Linked DNA regions of Saccharomyces cerevisiae S288C. Changing the gene in region 4 together with the main gene of any one other region gives a genetic interaction. Each region holds a gene or a part of one and is shown on either strand. Other genes may lie near its edges.

Region 1 (4,267 bases), on a different chromosome or scaffold from region 4:
GCAAAGGAGGAAGACCAAACTGCACAAAGGCTAAATGATGCTAATTTGAATAAAAAGGGATCTGGTGGTATTATGACAAATGATTTGAAAGTTTATAGAAAAACGGAAGTTGTTCTGGGTACAATTGATGACTTGAAAAGGAAGAAACTCAAAGAAAGGAATAATGATGACAATGAGGATAATGAAGGAAGTGAAGAAGAGCCTGAGATTGATCAATAAGAGACATTTATATGCATACATAATGGATAAATAGCACAACTTTTTGTTGTATTATATCATTTTCTTCAGGTGTACCGCGGCATCAATAAATGAAGCGATGTTCGGAAGAAAAAATTGGCAACGAAAACAGTATTATGAAAGTTACATATGAGGATCGTTCTATAAGCAAAAGAAACAAAAGGATGATATGATTAGTAAAGAGTATGAATTTGGTAAGACTAGTATACTGAATAGAAAGAAGTATACATTAGTTATCGATGAAGACAAGAATGGCAATTTTATAAGATTTACCGTTTTACCTGTATCTAACCGAAAGTTCAAAAAAGTCAAGCAAAATGGGAGGGTAGAGATTAACATGGGCATACAATATCACCAAATTGTACTTATTTTACTACTGAATATTTTGTTCTATGTAATTTGCCTAAGATCAAGATTTCTCGAACATATTAATAGAACTTTTGAAGTGACAATCGCGCGAAGTTTCCAGATCTTAATTATAATGGGATTGTTTGCCTTAGGTACAATTATACTTGTGAGGGGACCTAGTGTGGAAACTGTAACAATTTTCAAAGAAAGTGGACTACAGCTGTCCAGAGTGAAGGGTATGGTTATATTTCCTCAACAATGGAATCGGAAGTTCTTTGAACAAGTAGAGTTTATATCCAATGAAAGAATTATTGATGTAGTGATCAATGAAGGATTCTGTCGGGGATTTCGAGTGATATTCTATCTTGCAGCAATTGTACGTAAATCGTCTACGCTTAAGCTATTATTTCCAGTATGTATTCAAGCGAATTTAAGATTGTTTCTTACTTCAACGATCTGATTAGAAATACTAACACAACAATGCAGTCAAATTTGCCCAGTATCGATGACCAACGTCTAATATACAACATATCTAGAAAATATCTCAGTAAGCAAGAAAAACCCCTGAGCAGACCAAAAGATTGAACATCAAATTATCATTACAGAAAATCTTGAGACATTTTGGTATATACTTATATTTTAGTGTATGTTTATATATAATTATAGATAAGAATTTGAACACACTTAAGTTGCAGAACAAAAAAAAGGGGAATTGTTTTCATTACATGGTAGATAATTTGTTGATGATTTCATTCGTGAAGTCAGTAGTAGAAGAGGAACCACCAATATCTCTAGTGGTATGCTTACCTTCTGCGATCGTTTCATGAACTGCCTTTGAGATTCTAGTAGCATATTCATTCAAACCCAAATGGTTCAACATTAACGTGGAGGAAAGGATCATGGCAGTTGGGTTAGCCACATTTTGGCCTTTAATATCTAAACCAACATGTCTGGAACCTGGTTCGAAGACAGCATAGTCCCTGCCAAAGTTGGCACCTGCCACCAATCCTGGACCACCGATCAAAGCAGCGCCAATGTTGCCTAAGATGGTACCGTACATTGAAGGGGTAACTAGGACATCAAATTGATGAGGTTTGGCCACCGCCTGCATGGAGGCATTGTCGACAATGATGGACGATACGTCAATATCAGGATATTCTTTTTGGCCAATTTCAGTTATTATATTTCTGAACAGACCGTCACCTAACTTCATGATATTTGCCTTATGCACAGCTGTGACAGACTTTCTGTTGTATTTCTTGGCGAAGTCAAAGGCAAATCTGGCGATCCTTTCTGTCTTAGGTCTAGTCATAACTTTCAAAGATTCCACTACACCAGGGACGGATTCATGTTCCAGGCCTGAGAACTCACCCTCCGTGTTTTCTCTAATGACAATCAAATCTATGTCTGGAATTCTAGTCTTGACACCCTTCAAGGATTTGAAAAGGGCCACATTGGCGTAGATATCTAGTTGTTTACGCAAAGCAACGTTTAGTGAACCGTGACCTGTTTGGTCAGCAGGAGTGTGCCATAGCCCCTTAAGACCAATCTTATTTCTCTTTAGAGACTCAACAGCTTCATAGACGCCTTCCTTATGATCTGTTTGCTTAATGTTTATAGTTTCCCAGTCGATCGGGATATTTTCAGCCTCAAAAATGGTTCTCACTGAATCAGTGATTTCTTTCCCAACACCGTCACCAGGTATCAAAGTGACGGTGAAACGACCGCCATACTTCTTGGGTAGGGTGCGTTCCGCCTGAGCGGCAGTGGCTAAAGTTCTCTTAGCAATTGTTCTGTTAAGCATTTTTCTCTTACAATTATGGAGGAAAAGGGAGAAGAATGAGGATAGGGAGAATAATGAACCTTGATTGTTACCAGTAATATTAAGGTACTGTTGAAATAGATCTACGGTAGAGTAAAGAAATCAATCAATCAAGAATAAGCCAATGAAGCGGAAGAAAACAAGAAAAAAGACCTATGGAAAATATAGATAGTCCTATGTGCTCACCCACATAAAACACTTATATATATATTCAGTGTAGGCATGTATTGTACGGGGATATATATATGAGGGTCTTCCTTTAATCGCTAAATAACAATACCGAGCTACCAAAAAAAATAAAAGAAGGTTTCTGCAATATGGTTGGTTGATGAGTGACCTATGACGCCCGATGCTCGGAGAAGGTGGTCAGGCACACGTGATTCACCTAAACTCGGCGCCGAAAAAAATTTGATCAGCCGTACAGTGTGATTGTTATCACGTGATAGTAACGTAAGTCACGTGCTTTCTAACCATCACCCCGCACGAACGTTCGTTCCCGTTTCGATGTTGACGTCAGAATGAGCTAACTTGACGCCACTGAATTAATTCGCATTGTCACCATGACGCTTATCAAGCCGAAAAAATTACTAGTGATTCCTTCCTCCCCCTCTCTCGATGAGTAATTTTGAAATGAACAAGTAGGCTGACATAGAGTACTATAAATACTTAGGAAGTAATGATTCTCGAGGATAGGTAAGAGCTGTCCTCTTCTAATTCTTGTTCGTTTTCTTCTGAAAACCCCAACCACATCAACTACAGCTAAGACTACAAATTTCAATTATTACACATCAGAATGAGCGCTACCGAATCTTCATCTATATTCACATTGAGTCACAACTCAAACCTACAAGATATCTTGGCCGCCAATGCCAAATGGGCCTCCCAGATGAACAACATACAGCCAACTTTGTTCCCAGATCACAATGCGAAGGGCCAGTCCCCTCACACTCTTTTCATCGGCTGCTCCGATTCGCGTTACAACGAAAACTGTTTAGGTGTCTTGCCCGGCGAAGTGTTCACTTGGAAAAATGTTGCTAACATATGTCACTCAGAGGATTTAACTTTGAAGGCCACTTTAGAGTTTGCCATTATTTGTCTAAAAGTTAACAAAGTTATTATTTGTGGCCACACTGATTGTGGTGGTATAAAGACATGTTTAACTAACCAAAGGGAAGCCTTACCAAAAGTTAACTGTTCTCATCTGTACAAGTACTTAGACGATATTGACACCATGTACCATGAAGAGTCACAAAATTTGATCCATTTGAAAACGCAACGTGAAAAATCTCATTACCTGTCGCACTGTAACGTCAAAAGGCAGTTTAATAGGATTATTGAAAACCCTACTGTGCAAACTGCTGTACAAAATGGAGAATTACAGGTATACGGTCTGCTTTACAACGTAGAGGACGGTCTACTGCAAACAGTTAGCACTTACACAAAAGTTACCCCAAAATAGTTTTAGCCTCACCGATATACTTATATAATATTCATTGAAATAGAAAGACATTTACAAAGTAGACGGGGATATTTAGCCCCACTCATATAAATTATGCATTATAACTTTTATAAAAAAAAAGAAATCACACTTAAATAAATGTCTTAATTGCACATTCCATGTTCAGATATACACTATCTTACCTTTTGAATAGGAATGATGGAAAAAAAATTATGCTTCCAATCGGATTTGAACCGATGATCTCCACATTACTAGTGTGGCGCCTTACCAACTTGGCCATAGAAGCCCGTTATTACGGTCTGTGATCCAGCAAATGTCAGATATAACGAATTGAAGTTGCTTTTCCCATCAATGTTTGTCAAGTTGAAACGCTGTAGCACACACTAAGCATTAACGACTAT
Region 2 (4,540 bases), on a different chromosome or scaffold from region 4:
TCGGCACAAATTAGAGACTTTATCAGGAATTTACCTTACACATTTAACAACGTTGCATCAGAAGAGGGTCATATGGCCATAGAAGTCTCATTTAAAAAGAAGCTCACGAAGAATACTCTTTTGGAAAGAGACATTGATACCGAAGACGAAACAAACCCATCAGAGGCTTTATTTTTCGTCTTTGATTCATTTGCGCCCGTCAATAATTTCCTACAAGATTATAACGACCTGATTGGGAAAATAGACTTTGGCTTGGCATTTCAATATTTTCCATTATCGGAATATAGGCCTCATGGTTTATTTCCTATTATTGGGCAGTATAATGAGAGGTCTACCTTAACAGTAGATACGCCAAGGTCTAGAGGACAAGTTTCAATGACGATCAATGGCAAACATTACAAAAGCTTCCTTGATATCCTGAGTCTTTGGAATATAAAGGGTGTCAGTTGCGGACATGAACATAATAATGACTGTTGCTTACAGTCAAAAAATGAGATGTGGTTATGTTACGGTGGGTCCGCTGGTATAGGCTTGCCGAGAATCCAAGGTATATATCCAACCGTTAGATTATTTAACTTGGATGATATTTTGGACGAAATAACTTCGTGGAAGAGGAATAGCAATCTTGTTGACGAGGTTTACGATTATCAGTACATCTATAAGGGGAAGCAATAATTTCAATGATTAATTTTGTAAGGTGAACATTGACTGCCAGCAGGATAGATGATAGATAGACATAAACAAAATATACATAACACACGGTGGTGTTTTCTTTTTACACATAATATATTTAATTCTTTTTCTTTTTTTTTTTTTTTGGTTTACAAGTCCACTGAGGGACATTTTGAGTTATCACTTATGGTCTCCTGTAGCATTATTAAAAGAATAAATATCGAAAAGTATACATACTTAATAAAAACTTCAGGCTATTAAATAAACATCAGAACACATTGAGGACAAAGCCATAGAAGTTTGGAGTAGATACGGAATTTTTATTGTATGTATATATTATATATCTAAGCATTTTGCTTTTTTTTACTTCATAATCTTTCAGAAATCATTATATTAAACGGATAGTCATTTGTTTTCAAGGCGTGAAAAAACCTGAGAGGGAAAAGAATAGGACTTTTATAATCTCTTGATGACTGCTTCAGTGAATGATGAAGTAGTAGCAGTACCAGCCAAGTCACCTGTTCTGTTTTCTGGACCTGATGCGATAGTAGACAATACTGCATTTTGAATTTGGTCAGCATGATTCGTTAGACCCATGTGGTTTAACATCATTACTGAAGATAAAAGTAGGGCAGTTGGATTCGCTTTATCTTGACCGGCAATATCAGGGGCAGAGCCATGGACAGCTTCAAAGATCGAGATTTTATGACCAATATTGGCAGATGGAGTTAAACCTAAAGAACCGGCGCTCAAACCAGAGTTCAAGTCGGACAAGATATCACCGTATAGATTTGGACAAACAGAAACAGCGTCTGTGTAAGCAGATGGGTTGGTGACCACCTTTAACACACTGTTATCAATAAGTTCAGTTTCTAAAGTAAGGTCAGGATACTCTTTGGATAGTTCTTTGGCAACATTAACGAATAAACCATCAGCTAATCTCTGGATAGTAGATTTATGTACCACAATAACTCTTGGTCTGCCGATGGCTCTTGCATATTCAAAAGCGTATCTAATGACTCGCTCAGAGGCATCTCTTGTGATCAGTTTAATAGATTGAACAACGCCAGGGCAAACTATGTGTTCGATACCAGAATATTCACCTTCGGTATTCTCTCTGATAAGAACTAAATCAACGTTTTCGTAAGTGGTCTTAAAACCTTCAATAGACTTTGCGGGACGAACGTTGGCAAATAACCCAAATGTTTTTCTCAATGTCAAATTCAAAGATCTGTGACCTTTACCAATAGGTGTAGCTAGTGGACCTTTTAGTGCAACCAGGTTTTTTGTGATAGATTGTACGGCAGGGTCAGGAATGGTCGTTAATCCGTTGACAAAGATAGGGCTAACATCACAAGATTCCCATTCTATGGGGACGTTTGCTGCACTAAAGATTTTCTTTACAGACTTGGAAATTTCAGGTCCGATACCATCACCTTCAATGAACGAGACCGTGTATTTGCCGGTAGAAGGGTTAGGTTTGCCGGTATATCTTCCGATTGAAGGTTGCTTTACAGTAGCCAAAAACCTCCTCGAGGTGTTTCTAAAAAAAGTATTTCTCAACATTATTAAAAAATATTATAATTGTTGTTCGTTCCCGATCTGTATCTTATTATCTACCAAGGTAATTCAGGTTCAGAAAAAGTGTATCCAATAATGTCATGCACTTGGAATATATATTTATATAAATATGAATAATAAATGAAAAAGAAATAAGAAAAGAGGAAAACTTTAGAAGGAGGGTTTTTCTGATATGACTATGATGAGAAACTAAAACCTTAGGGCCTATAATAAGGGACCTATGAGCTTTTCAATAACTTATATATTCTTTAACCAAACAATGGAAGTTACAGAAAATAGGAACTGACCAACCAGAGCGGCCCGTGTCATGCCCCCCCTTGCCGAGATGCGGACCGAGATTGCTGAAAGAAGCGCCGAGTATCGCAAAAGGCCCCTGGCGGGGCAACGACAATTTCTTCGCCGAACCTCGGAATCGACTAGCAGATCACAGTGCTTAGGAAGCTAAGGCTGCGTTCTAGAAGGGCTAGTGAGTCTTCTCAACCATGACTGTCGTTGTTTGTGTTTGGTTTTATGTTCACCTCTAGGAACTCTTTCTGTAGGGTCTTTGATGCCAGTATTGCTGCTGTTTCCAACGTTCCCAAGTAATTTACTAAGTCTGGGAGAAAGGGACTCTGCACTCAATGTTCTACCTTTAAAGGATCTCGGTACAGAAAGCCCATTGTTATCAAAATCTATTGGGCTAGGAAACAGTGCATGATGATGATGATGATGATGATGTATGGTAAAATTGTTGGAGTCAGAAAGTGCACGTGACCTTGGAAGCATATGGTCATCTATTGAAGGGTGCACAAAATCTTCTTCATCGGAGTCAATAGCCATTTCAGGAACGGTAATGTTGTTAAACTTTGCTACTGTTCCTGCATGCGGCATGGTGTCCTTATTCGCTTTTTCCGTATTCGGTATTATATCTGAAGCGTGTAGTATGAGGAATTCGATGACAGTTCTGGAAGCCTCATACTCTTTCGGGCACATTTCATCCTTGGGATGAGACAAAAGTGAGGGTTGTACGATGGCCGCTAAATTGCTTGCTGACATTAAATTCTTCTTTTCATTTCTTGCAAATAAATTCAAGAGCGCGGCTAAATAAAGTATTAAATGGCGATTTTGTTGTGGTAAGAGCATATAAATATCTTCGTAGTCCTTAATGATTTGTTCTTTGTGCTCATTTATTTTTGGGTTTTCTAATATTGGATTTCTAAAAATGTCGTATAATGCTAGGGGAACCAAAGGCTCACTTAATGAGTTCAAATATCTTTTTAATAAAGTTGCAATGTCATGAACATTGAAATCACACCATCCTTCAAATTTACGACCATAATCGGGCGGTTTAGAGAAAACAGCTTGTAGCTCTCTAACACGTTTATTGCTTCCCGCAATACGGAAAATTCCTGTTGTGTCTAATGCATTCTCTTTTAGGTATTTCCCACTTTTTGCTATTACCACCGGTATGGAACCAATTTCATTTGTACTTTTTTGGATAATTACTTCCTCTTGAGCAACTTTCAGTGATTCCTCGAGTGAGACGCCAAATACTTTACCATCAAATTCGTTTTGCAAATTAGTAAAGGTGTCCCTATCCTTCTTGCCCTCAACAGAAGACATTGAAGATGACCTATTCTGTGGAGAACCCTCTTCAGAAGAAGGTGTAGAAAGTAGATTCATGTTAAACATTCTATTTTATGTTGTGTAATAAGATATGTCCAGAAATATACTATGGTTATTTATGTACTCTTTCCTGTGTACGCGTTTCGATTATTTTGCAGGTTATATTATATACTGCTATCACATGCTAAAACAAGAGTATCTAACAATGGGAACACAAAGCAAGTATTGATTTACTCATTCCAGTTGTGTAATTTTCTTCTAAAGATGTACTTAAATAAGAAGAAAACAATGATTGTCTTCGACCTCAACGCCTCGAACCAACGCTTTCCCCAATAGCGAGAGAAAGTAAGTAACCGGAAAATTAATTACCTCTTTCTTTCACCTGCAGGGGCTGAGGTGCTTCTGTTAGTGCGCCTCTAGAAGTATCGGCCATAATGAGATATATACTTTGGTTGCCCCTCCGGTTTTGAGGGAGTTTTAGCCCGATGAGGCTGGTCCTCCCCTCCAAGGATTTTTTGTATTTCCTATTTCGCTCTAATTATAGAAGCACCAACATACGGCGGGGTATAAACCAAACAATAGCCGCGGAAGCCCAATCTTCTTCTCCTTTTTTCGTAAACGGATAAAAAGCTATGACCAAGAGCCAGGTAAGTTATACGTAATACTACCTCAGGACCGATGT
Region 3 (4,873 bases), on a different chromosome or scaffold from region 4:
TACTGCCTACAAACCATTTCTGGCCAGTGACTTCATTGGCAGAGGTTACGACGATTAAAAAAAAAAAAGAGTAAGAAATTAACGTTACCACCTATGGGAAAGGCAGTAACTCACAAGCATTCACGTACATAATTCTGTTTTTTTTTTTTTTATTCATTTCTAGCACGCTATCGGGGTTATTTTTTTTTTTGTAATATATAGTGATGGTATAATGTTGTATAGATACTGGTATCGCTCCTAATAAAGACTCTTTCAGATTTCTGAAGCCAACGAAGTAAGGCCTCAAGAAAAGAGGGTTACCAGTAATTAACCAAGCAATTTCTTTTTTTTCTTTCCAGCAAAGAAATAAGACAAAAACCGGCTATATGGAGAAGAGGGAGGATCTAATGGTGACATAGTCCATTTCAAGATTCCCTCTTTCGTTTCTCGGATGAAGCTCGATGTTTACAATTCAGAATCTTAAAAGGCTGTCGCTAAGAAAGACCCAGAGGCACATGCAAGATAGTTGTGCCTGTACCACGTGAGAAGGCGGTATTCAATATGCGGTGCTGTGCTGGCTTCCCTTTTTGGAACGCGCCGGGGTATAACAAAGAAAGGCTAAGTCATACAATAGGCAAAAGACCTTTGTCTTTCCTTTTTTTCCTCTTTCCTAACATACGGTGGTTTATGTACTATCCCTTATGTAATTGCTTAGCTATACACAGTGAGCACACATAGTGGCGCTCACTACTCCCTTTTAATTTCAACTCGTAGATAGTTGGGCTATTTTCCTTCGAATCCTCGTTTATCATCTCATATTTAAGAGTACCATTTCGGGGCTTTTTTTTACCTTTTCCTTTTCCATGCAGTCTGTCCCCTTAATGTTCTATGTTTTTTTTTTTTTTTTTTCAGTTCTGTAGCTTCCAGTATAAAGGGAGGGAAAAAAGAAGATCCGAAAAGTTTATATTCGCCTGAATTGTAGATATTAGATAAGAAAATTAATTATTAATCAACCAATCTTGAAAGATACAAATAAATTGTAACACACTATACATTACAACCAAAAATGCCAAAAAAGGTTTGGAAATCATCTACGCCTTCCACTTATGAACATATCTCCAGCTTAAGACCAAAATTTGTGTCTCGTGTGGACAATGTTCTGCACCAAAGGAAGTCCTTGACGTTCAGCAACGTTGTTGTTCCAGATAAAAAAAATAACACTCTAACCTCAAGTGTTATATACTCTCAAGGTAGTGATATCTACGAAATTGACTTCGCTGTACCACTACAAGAAGCCGCTTCAGAACCGGTGAAAGACTATGGTGACGCCTTTGAAGGTATTGAAAACACCTCGTTGAGCCCAAAATTCGTGTACCAGGGTGAAACTGTCTCCAAAATGGCCTACTTAGATAAGACTGGAGAAACTACATTATTGTCGATGTCTAAGAACGGGTCGTTGGCTTGGTTCAAAGAGGGTATAAAGGTCCCTATTCACATTGTACAGGAATTGATGGGTCCAGCAACCAGCTATGCCAGCATCCATTCTTTAACCAGACCTGGTGATCTACCTGAAAAGGATTTCTCATTAGCCATCTCTGACTTCGGCATTTCCAATGATACCGAAACCATTGTGAAGTCTCAGAGTAATGGTGATGAAGAAGACAGTATTTTGAAAATCATTGACAATGCCGGTAAGCCTGGTGAGATTCTACGTACTGTTCATGTGCCTGGTACCACTGTGACTCACACCGTAAGATTTTTCGACAATCATATCTTTGCGTCTTGTTCAGATGACAATATTCTGAGGTTCTGGGACACTAGAACTTCCGACAAGCCTATATGGGTGTTGGGAGAACCAAAGAACGGAAAATTGACCTCGTTTGATTGCTCTCAGGTTTCCAACAACTTGTTTGTTACCGGTTTCAGTACGGGTATTATCAAGTTATGGGATGCCAGAGCGGCTGAAGCTGCCACCACTGATTTGACTTATAGACAAAACGGTGAAGATCCAATTCAGAATGAAATCGCTAACTTCTATCATGCCGGCGGTGATTCTGTTGTCGACGTCCAATTTTCTGCCACTTCAAGCTCTGAATTCTTTACTGTGGGCGGCACTGGTAATATTTACCACTGGAACACTGACTATTCCTTGTCAAAGTACAATCCTGACGATACCATTGCTCCTCCTCAAGATGCCACTGAAGAATCACAAACAAAATCTCTGAGATTCTTGCACAAGGGTGGAAGCAGAAGATCTCCAAAACAGATTGGAAGAAGAAACACCGCCGCTTGGCATCCAGTTATTGAAAACTTGGTTGGTACTGTCGATGACGATAGTTTAGTCAGCATCTACAAGCCCTATACCGAGGAAAGCGAATAGTCGCCATGCTAAACGCGCGGAACAAGGCCATATTTATATATTTAATGCTTTTAACTATTATTAGTTTTTCTCACCCAGGGCTGGTTTCTTTACCCTGTGTGATGAAAGTGCGCGCCTAAAGTTATGTATGAGCTACTGTTAGTATATTTATTATTCAATATTTAATTAAACAATACTTACTACTGATGAAAGATACCGTACACCTGCTGGCGAATAAGTCACTATACACGAGCAATTATATTTCTCAGGTCATTGCGACAATTGAAAAATCGGATCGACTGATTATCATTAAGGCGTGTGACGGCTCAGAATAAGGAAGTTCTATTTTAAAGGGCAGCAAAAATTTGGCACAATTTAAAAAGAAAGTTGGTCTCTGGTAGGGTTGGATCCGGTTTTTCATAACTTGCGTTTCATTTATGGTTGCGTATTTCTCGCAGTGTACATAGACCAAATTAACTCTATCCTTCCATTGCACAATTTGCCCAGTATGGCTTCACTGTTCAGACCCCCAGAATCTGCGAAATGCAACCCAAACTCTCCTAGACTTAAACTGCCCCTCTTACGAAATAATCAGGTAGATGAAAATAATATATACTTGACGTCGAATGGGAGTTCCACCACAGCTTACAGTAGCCACACCCCAGAACCACTGACCTCTTCCACATCGACACTTTTCTCCCAAACTCGACTTCATCCTAGCGACTCTTCAATGACTTTAAATACAATGAAGAAGAGGCCTGCACCGCCATCTTTACCTTCGCTCAGCATAAATTCACAGTCTAAGTGCAAAACACTACCCGAACTCGTACCCATCGCCGATGTGTCTGATGGTAAACATGATTTAGGATTGAAACAGCGTGTGATAGCCGAAAATGAGTTGTCTGGTAATAGTGACTTAACCCCTTCATCGATGGCAAGCCCCTTTTCACATACAAACACCTCTTCTCCCTACCTCAGAAATGATCTGAGCAATTCAGTGGGATCTGACTTTTCAAATTTGATATCGGCATATGAACAAAGTTCAAGTCCCATCAAGTCATCGTCCCAGCCTAAATCATCTTCTGAATCGTACATAGACTTAAACAGTGTACGAGATGTTGATCAATTGGATGAAAATGGTTGGAAATATGCAAATTTAAAAGATAGGATCGAGACATTAGGCATTCTAGGAGAAGGAGCCGGTGGCTCTGTTTCCAAGTGTAAATTGAAAAATGGATCAAAAATATTCGCTTTAAAAGTGATAAACACATTAAATACAGATCCCGAGTATCAGAAGCAAATATTCAGAGAATTACAGTTTAATAGGAGTTTCCAATCCGAATATATCGTACGATATTATGGAATGTTTACGGATGACGAAAACTCTTCAATTTATATTGCTATGGAGTACATGGGTGGGCGATCGTTGGATGCTATTTATAAAAATTTGTTAGAGCGTGGTGGTAGGATCAGTGAAAAAGTCCTGGGGAAGATTGCAGAAGCGGTACTAAGAGGACTATCATATTTGCATGAAAAAAAAGTTATTCATAGAGATATTAAGCCCCAGAATATTTTACTGAATGAAAATGGTCAGGTGAAACTTTGTGATTTTGGGGTCAGTGGAGAAGCCGTTAACTCGCTAGCCACAACATTCACGGGGACGTCATTCTATATGGCTCCAGAAAGGATTCAAGGTCAACCATACAGTGTCACATCTGATGTATGGTCACTTGGATTAACGATTTTGGAAGTGGCGAACGGGAAATTTCCATGCTCTTCCGAGAAGATGGCAGCCAATATAGCTCCCTTTGAATTGTTAATGTGGATTTTAACATTTACTCCTGAATTAAAGGATGAACCCGAATCTAATATCATATGGAGTCCATCATTCAAATCCTTTATCGACTACTGTCTGAAAAAAGATAGTCGTGAACGGCCATCTCCAAGACAAATGATCAATCATCCTTGGATAAAGGGTCAAATGAAAAAAAATGTCAATATGGAAAAATTCGTGAGGAAGTGCTGGAAAGATTAATCAATAAGCAATTTTTTGCGAACATGATTAAGTTTATTTTACTTTATTTCGCATTTTCCATAAAAAAATTTTCCTCCATACAAGATTCATACCCAGGATAGCCTAACTAAAATGTATGGCTTTATACAGCTTGACGACAAACTTAATTTGAATATATAGATATATTAATTTAATCAGCAGGATTAGCATTTAATGTCTTACATGTCTTTGTATTTGGCATACGTATTCAGTGATATTTTAATACCTCGCAACGCAATTTCCAGCGAGTTTACGTTTGAAGCAAACGTAACTCCCATGAGTTATACATAACGCCTGCTGCAGCTGAACCAGAACAATATACCGTGGTATTACCGTAAGCATTTGAAAACAATAATAAGTTTCCAAGTGCCGCTTTAGATCCAAAGTACAAGGACATATTGTGGAAGAGTAAGTTGAATATTTGAAAATGAGAGCTTTTTCAGCAGCCACCGTTAGGGCCACAACTAGGAAGTCGTTCATCC
Region 4 (4,374 bases):
ACCAAGTGCATCAGAAAATGACCCATAAAGAGGTTGAAAAGATGTTGATGTAATTAAATACGCAGTGGTGATCCAATTTGAAATACTCATCTGATTAAATTCGTTACCAATCGTTTGGTACGTCGAAGCTGTAACGGTTCCGTCAAAACCGGACAAAAAGACATTAGAAAAAAGAGTAGCTTCAATAATCCATCAATTTGGGATTCTTGAAAGCGCTATATCTTCGCCTTTGTCCAAGTCCTCATCTAAGTCTTCACTGTAGTCGACAGAAGGAATTTCAGTCTCTTCAATACTGCCATAGTTTCCATCCTTGCTTTTCGGTAGTACTTTGTGTTTACTAGATTTAAGCATTGCGAAAAAAAATCTGATTTGGAATTAATGTTTCATTTACTACATTTTAAAGCATTTTGTACCATTCAGAGGCAAGAATTGGCCAATACTGTGTGTTCTTATAACGATAACTAGTATATATATTCTCGAAATTGTATATTTCTGTGGATTTGCACACAATCATCTAATAGCAAATTAGGAAGAAAGCCACACATGCACATATATCGCATCACTTACCGAGCCTTAGAATGTGGTTGCCACACATTAGGACATGTTACCCCCCGCACCTAGCAGAAATATAGTATTAATCTATCAGTGCTCAACACAATGTGATATCAGTACAATTCTTCATGCCATGGTACGTCGTCTCTATTTTCTTTTATATTCTGTTTATTATATCATGTTCTAAAAATGTCATATATACAATTCTGAAAAGGTTTTTGACCCTTACGTAACGCTATTCGGTCAACTACTTGTGAGACATATATTGTTCAAATATGTAAATGAAGAAAAGTACGCCTATTACTAGGATCCACAATACCGTAAAGCCTGTTAAACAAGGAGGAACAATATATATATCATAATTTTTTTAGAAAGAAAAGCCAAAGAAACAGCATTTGCAGGCACAAATCCGTGATAATAATGCATAGAACAATATGTGAAACCCCACAAGGTTACTGGTCGGATGATGAGCGAGCCCAGAGAAACCAACAGACCTCTGTAAACATCACTATGCCTTATCACCACACTTTACCATAATGCATTGAAAGTGCAATTGGAGAAGCCACCAATAGACGAGCTATGATGATATATTTAGCGTCCCTTAAAATATCGACTTATACAGTGGATAACATTTCCGCTCGCATTCCTCGAAGAGCATTATTTCCAAACTACTGTTGAAAAAAAAAAAATACGAAGACGACGCTTACCTGAGCACCCAGGATGTACACTTCGCCACAAATTTTGAGAGGCCTTTTGTTGTGATATTAGTTGAAATATATAACCACTTAATCAGGCAAAAAGACAGCAGTCACTATTTCAAGTTGGTAAAAAAATCCTGTTTTCGCTAATTGTCGATTTGGCCTTTCACCTGGACTTGAAAGCTTCAATTACGGCCTGATACATTCATTCTTTATACTGACCTTTGCCCAATTTATTATCCAGAACTATAGCCATTAGGTTGCAGGCCACTGGGACCACCACTGACTGGAAAATATTCTATTGACGAATTTTCCGCAACTCATCGCTGATTAGTTTATGAACTTATCCCGTCGGAATGAGAAAGTTACATATGCAGGAATTCTCTACAAGCAGCAATAACATGCTTTTATTTTACTGTCGTATTGTAATTGCTTATTCGGTTCCAAACATGTCAGCTATGCCAATATTTTAGAAGAGTGGGAAAAAAAAGAGATGTTATAGACGAACGACAAAAGTTGTGAAAAACTCGAATGGAGTAATGGAGCAAGAAACAAGAATCTGTCATAGTCAATACGTGATTTTGATATGCTTTCAAGCTTCTGAGAACTTCATTCATTACACTCCACCACATATACTATACAACGAATAGCCCAGTCGAAGAGGTTATGATTGTGTTCATTTATTTTTTTACATGACAGAGTCTCCCTATTGATACTAAGCTTGCTGCAATAACTCTTCTTACTAAGAGGTAACTTACATCTTGACTTTTTAATGAAGTTCCCAGCCGATTACCATTATACGTCGCCGTTTCGTTCATGTAAATATTCAAATATACTACACTTTATATCTTTGCTTCTTATATTTTCGCGCGTAGGTTTGCCTAATTACATTTTTATATTCCTCATCAATAAAGCCGCCAACAAAGAGCACAGGGTAGAAACTCTGCTGTCTGGGAACTCGGCTAACGCTTGTAAGCTATTTAATATTCTCAAATCATTTCAACACCTCTTTTTTTTTTTTCAAATATGTACTATTTTCTCTATTTCCATTAAGTTAGTCTTACTGAAGAGTCAAGAATATGGAAGAATTCCTGCGGAATTTTCAATTATTAGAAGTGAAAAAAAAAAAAAAGAAGAACAATGAAATTTAGTCTCACTTTAGCGTGATATATAAAACGTAAAATGTCGAAGCCAACGTAAAATTAAAAACATTTTGATGTCACAATGAAAGAACTCCAAAGTAGAGCTTGAATTATAAATTAGCATTTTACCGATGTCCAGTAAAGCTACCAAAAGTGACGTAGATCCATTGCACTCGTTTCTGGCAGGGTCCCTAGCCGGTGCTGCTGAAGCATGTATAACATATCCTTTTGAGTTTGCCAAAACAAGGCTGCAGCTGATTGATAAGGCCTCCAAGGCATCAAGAAATCCTCTGGTATTGATATATAAAACTGCAAAAACTCAGGGCATTGGTTCCATTTATGTCGGATGTCCCGCATTTATTATTGGAAACACCGCTAAGGCGGGTATTAGATTTCTTGGCTTTGATACCATTAAAGACATGCTAAGAGATAGTGAAACTGGAGAACTAAGTGGTACAAGAGGGGTGATAGCTGGGTTAGGTGCGGGACTATTAGAAAGTGTTGCCGCAGTGACTCCTTTTGAAGCAATCAAAACTGCTTTGATCGATGATAAACAATCTGCTACACCAAAATACCATAATAATGGGCGCGGTGTAGTACGAAACTATTCATCATTAGTCCGTGATAAAGGATTTTCTGGTCTTTATCGTGGTGTTTTGCCAGTTTCCATGAGACAGGCCGCAAACCAAGCCGTTAGATTGGGTTGTTACAATAAGATTAAGACCTTGATCCAAGATTATACGGATTCGCCAAAAGACAAACCTTTATCATCCGGGTTAACCTTCTTAGTGGGTGCATTTAGTGGTATTGTGACGGTCTATTCCACCATGCCCCTTGATACTGTGAAAACAAGAATGCAAAGTTTGGATTCCACCAAATACTCCTCTACAATGAATTGTTTTGCAACCATTTTCAAAGAAGAAGGGTTAAAGACGTTTTGGAAAGGTGCTACGCCTAGACTTGGGAGATTGGTCTTGAGTGGTGGTATTGTTTTCACTATCTATGAAAAGGTCTTAGTTATGCTAGCCTGAAATGTATTATTGTGTACAATATATCATCTAATGTTTTCTACTCGTTATAAGTCTATTTACCAGCCGATCACTTAAAAAAGTTATATATCTCTTTTTATCATAATGAAGAAGATGGCTTATGCTTGATTTTGACTTTGGTTGAGGTATTTCTTTTCCAATTTTTTGACTTGAATGTAGTCGTATATACTCTTCAGGGTGATAAATAGCCCAAGAAATGCCACAAAAACAGCCAACCATGGTATGTTTTGTTTTTCTTCATCCAGACCGTGATTCAAATGTGATTCAAATTTATCTTGTGTCGTTGATTGTGAATTTAGACGAACATCATCGAATTCATTTGGATCCTCTAATTCCATTCTATTTAAGCTTTTATTTTTGCCGACTTTTGAAGTAACATCATTGGGAATCATTGAATAACCATATCCAATGAACGTTAACCCTAATCCAAACCTTGAACCTTGCTTTGCTGCGTGAGATGTGTGTAAAATGTAGGTTATTAAAAATCCAATGAACTGAAAACTCGTGCTTACGATGATATTCCATAATAAATTTGCTATATTTCCTACAGGAAGCCCCTCAATGCATATTTCGTCGTAGTAGATATCTGAATTGTTCAAATCCATTCCATAATACGAGGGGGCCATATCAGCAGCAGCTTCGTCGTATGTAGGTGGTATGTCTTGTTCGTTATTACCTTCAGTCTCTGTGGTATCTGGTTTTGCGCTTAAATTGCTAAAGACACCATCAAACATGGCACCTTGTTGTATATCCGAAGACTGTTGTGTACGTTTCTTAAAAAGTCTATCAAGAATATTAAAATGTCTTCCTATTTTTCCTATATGTCTGGCTGCTTGTTCCCTCAGCTGGTGTGGTACTAGTCTTTCTGTCGTACTATTTCCTCCACTGCTGCTTCCCTCGTCCTCTATGCTATCTTCCTCGTCAGACCCTATT

Evidence for each region.
Region 1: mutations in CTP1 (region 4) and IDH1 together harm fitness more than expected from each alone (negative genetic interaction), as found in Saccharomyces cerevisiae (4 studies listed by BioGRID).
Region 2: mutations in CTP1 (region 4) and IDH2 together harm fitness more than expected from each alone (negative genetic interaction), as found in Saccharomyces cerevisiae (4 studies listed by BioGRID).
Region 3: mutations in CTP1 (region 4) and MKK1 together harm fitness more than expected from each alone (negative genetic interaction), as found in Saccharomyces cerevisiae (3 studies listed by BioGRID).

Annotation. Positions count from the first base shown.
Region 1 is NC_001146.8:556,614-560,880, forward strand, and holds IDH1 (isocitrate dehydrogenase (NAD(+)) IDH1), read right to left. Parts: upstream 2,390-4,267; coding exon 1,307-2,389; downstream 1-1,306. Other genes in the region: transcription factor TFIIIB subunit BDP1, read left to right, coding at 1-219; phosphatidylinositol N-acetylglucosaminyltransferase GPI15, read left to right, coding at 407-997, 1,072-1,170; carbonate dehydratase NCE103, read left to right, coding at 3,201-3,866. UniProt on the Saccharomyces cerevisiae protein: Performs an essential role in the oxidative function of the citric acid cycle. Also binds RNA; specifically to the 5'-untranslated leaders of mitochondrial mRNAs.
Region 2 is NC_001147.6:577,948-582,487, reverse strand, and holds IDH2 (isocitrate dehydrogenase (NAD(+)) IDH2), read right to left. Parts: upstream 2,239-4,540; coding exon 1,129-2,238; downstream 1-1,128. Other genes in the region: SIA1 (Sia1p), read left to right, coding at 1-675; GTPase-activating protein BAG7, read right to left, coding at 2,695-3,924. UniProt on the Saccharomyces cerevisiae protein: Performs an essential role in the oxidative function of the citric acid cycle. Also binds RNA; specifically to the 5'-untranslated leaders of mitochondrial mRNAs.
Region 3 is NC_001147.6:769,755-774,627, forward strand, and holds MKK1 (mitogen-activated protein kinase kinase MKK1), read left to right. Parts: upstream 1-2,846; coding exon 2,847-4,373; downstream 4,374-4,873. Other genes in the region: WTM2 (transcriptional modulator), read left to right, coding at 1-58; WTM1 (transcriptional modulator), read left to right, coding at 1,046-2,359; mitochondrial nucleotide exchange factor MGE1, read left to right, coding at 4,819-4,873. UniProt on the Saccharomyces cerevisiae protein: Involved in a signal transduction pathway that play a role in yeast cell morphogenesis and cell growth.
Region 4 is NC_001134.8:782,722-787,095, reverse strand, and holds CTP1 (Ctp1p), read left to right. Parts: upstream 1-2,523; coding exon 2,524-3,423; downstream 3,424-4,374. Other genes in the region: VBA2 (Vba2p), read right to left, coding at 1-90; YBR292C (uncharacterized protein), read left to right, coding at 2,023-2,394; BSD2 (Bsd2p), read right to left, coding at 3,540-4,374. UniProt on the Saccharomyces cerevisiae protein: Transport of citrate across inner mitochondrial membrane.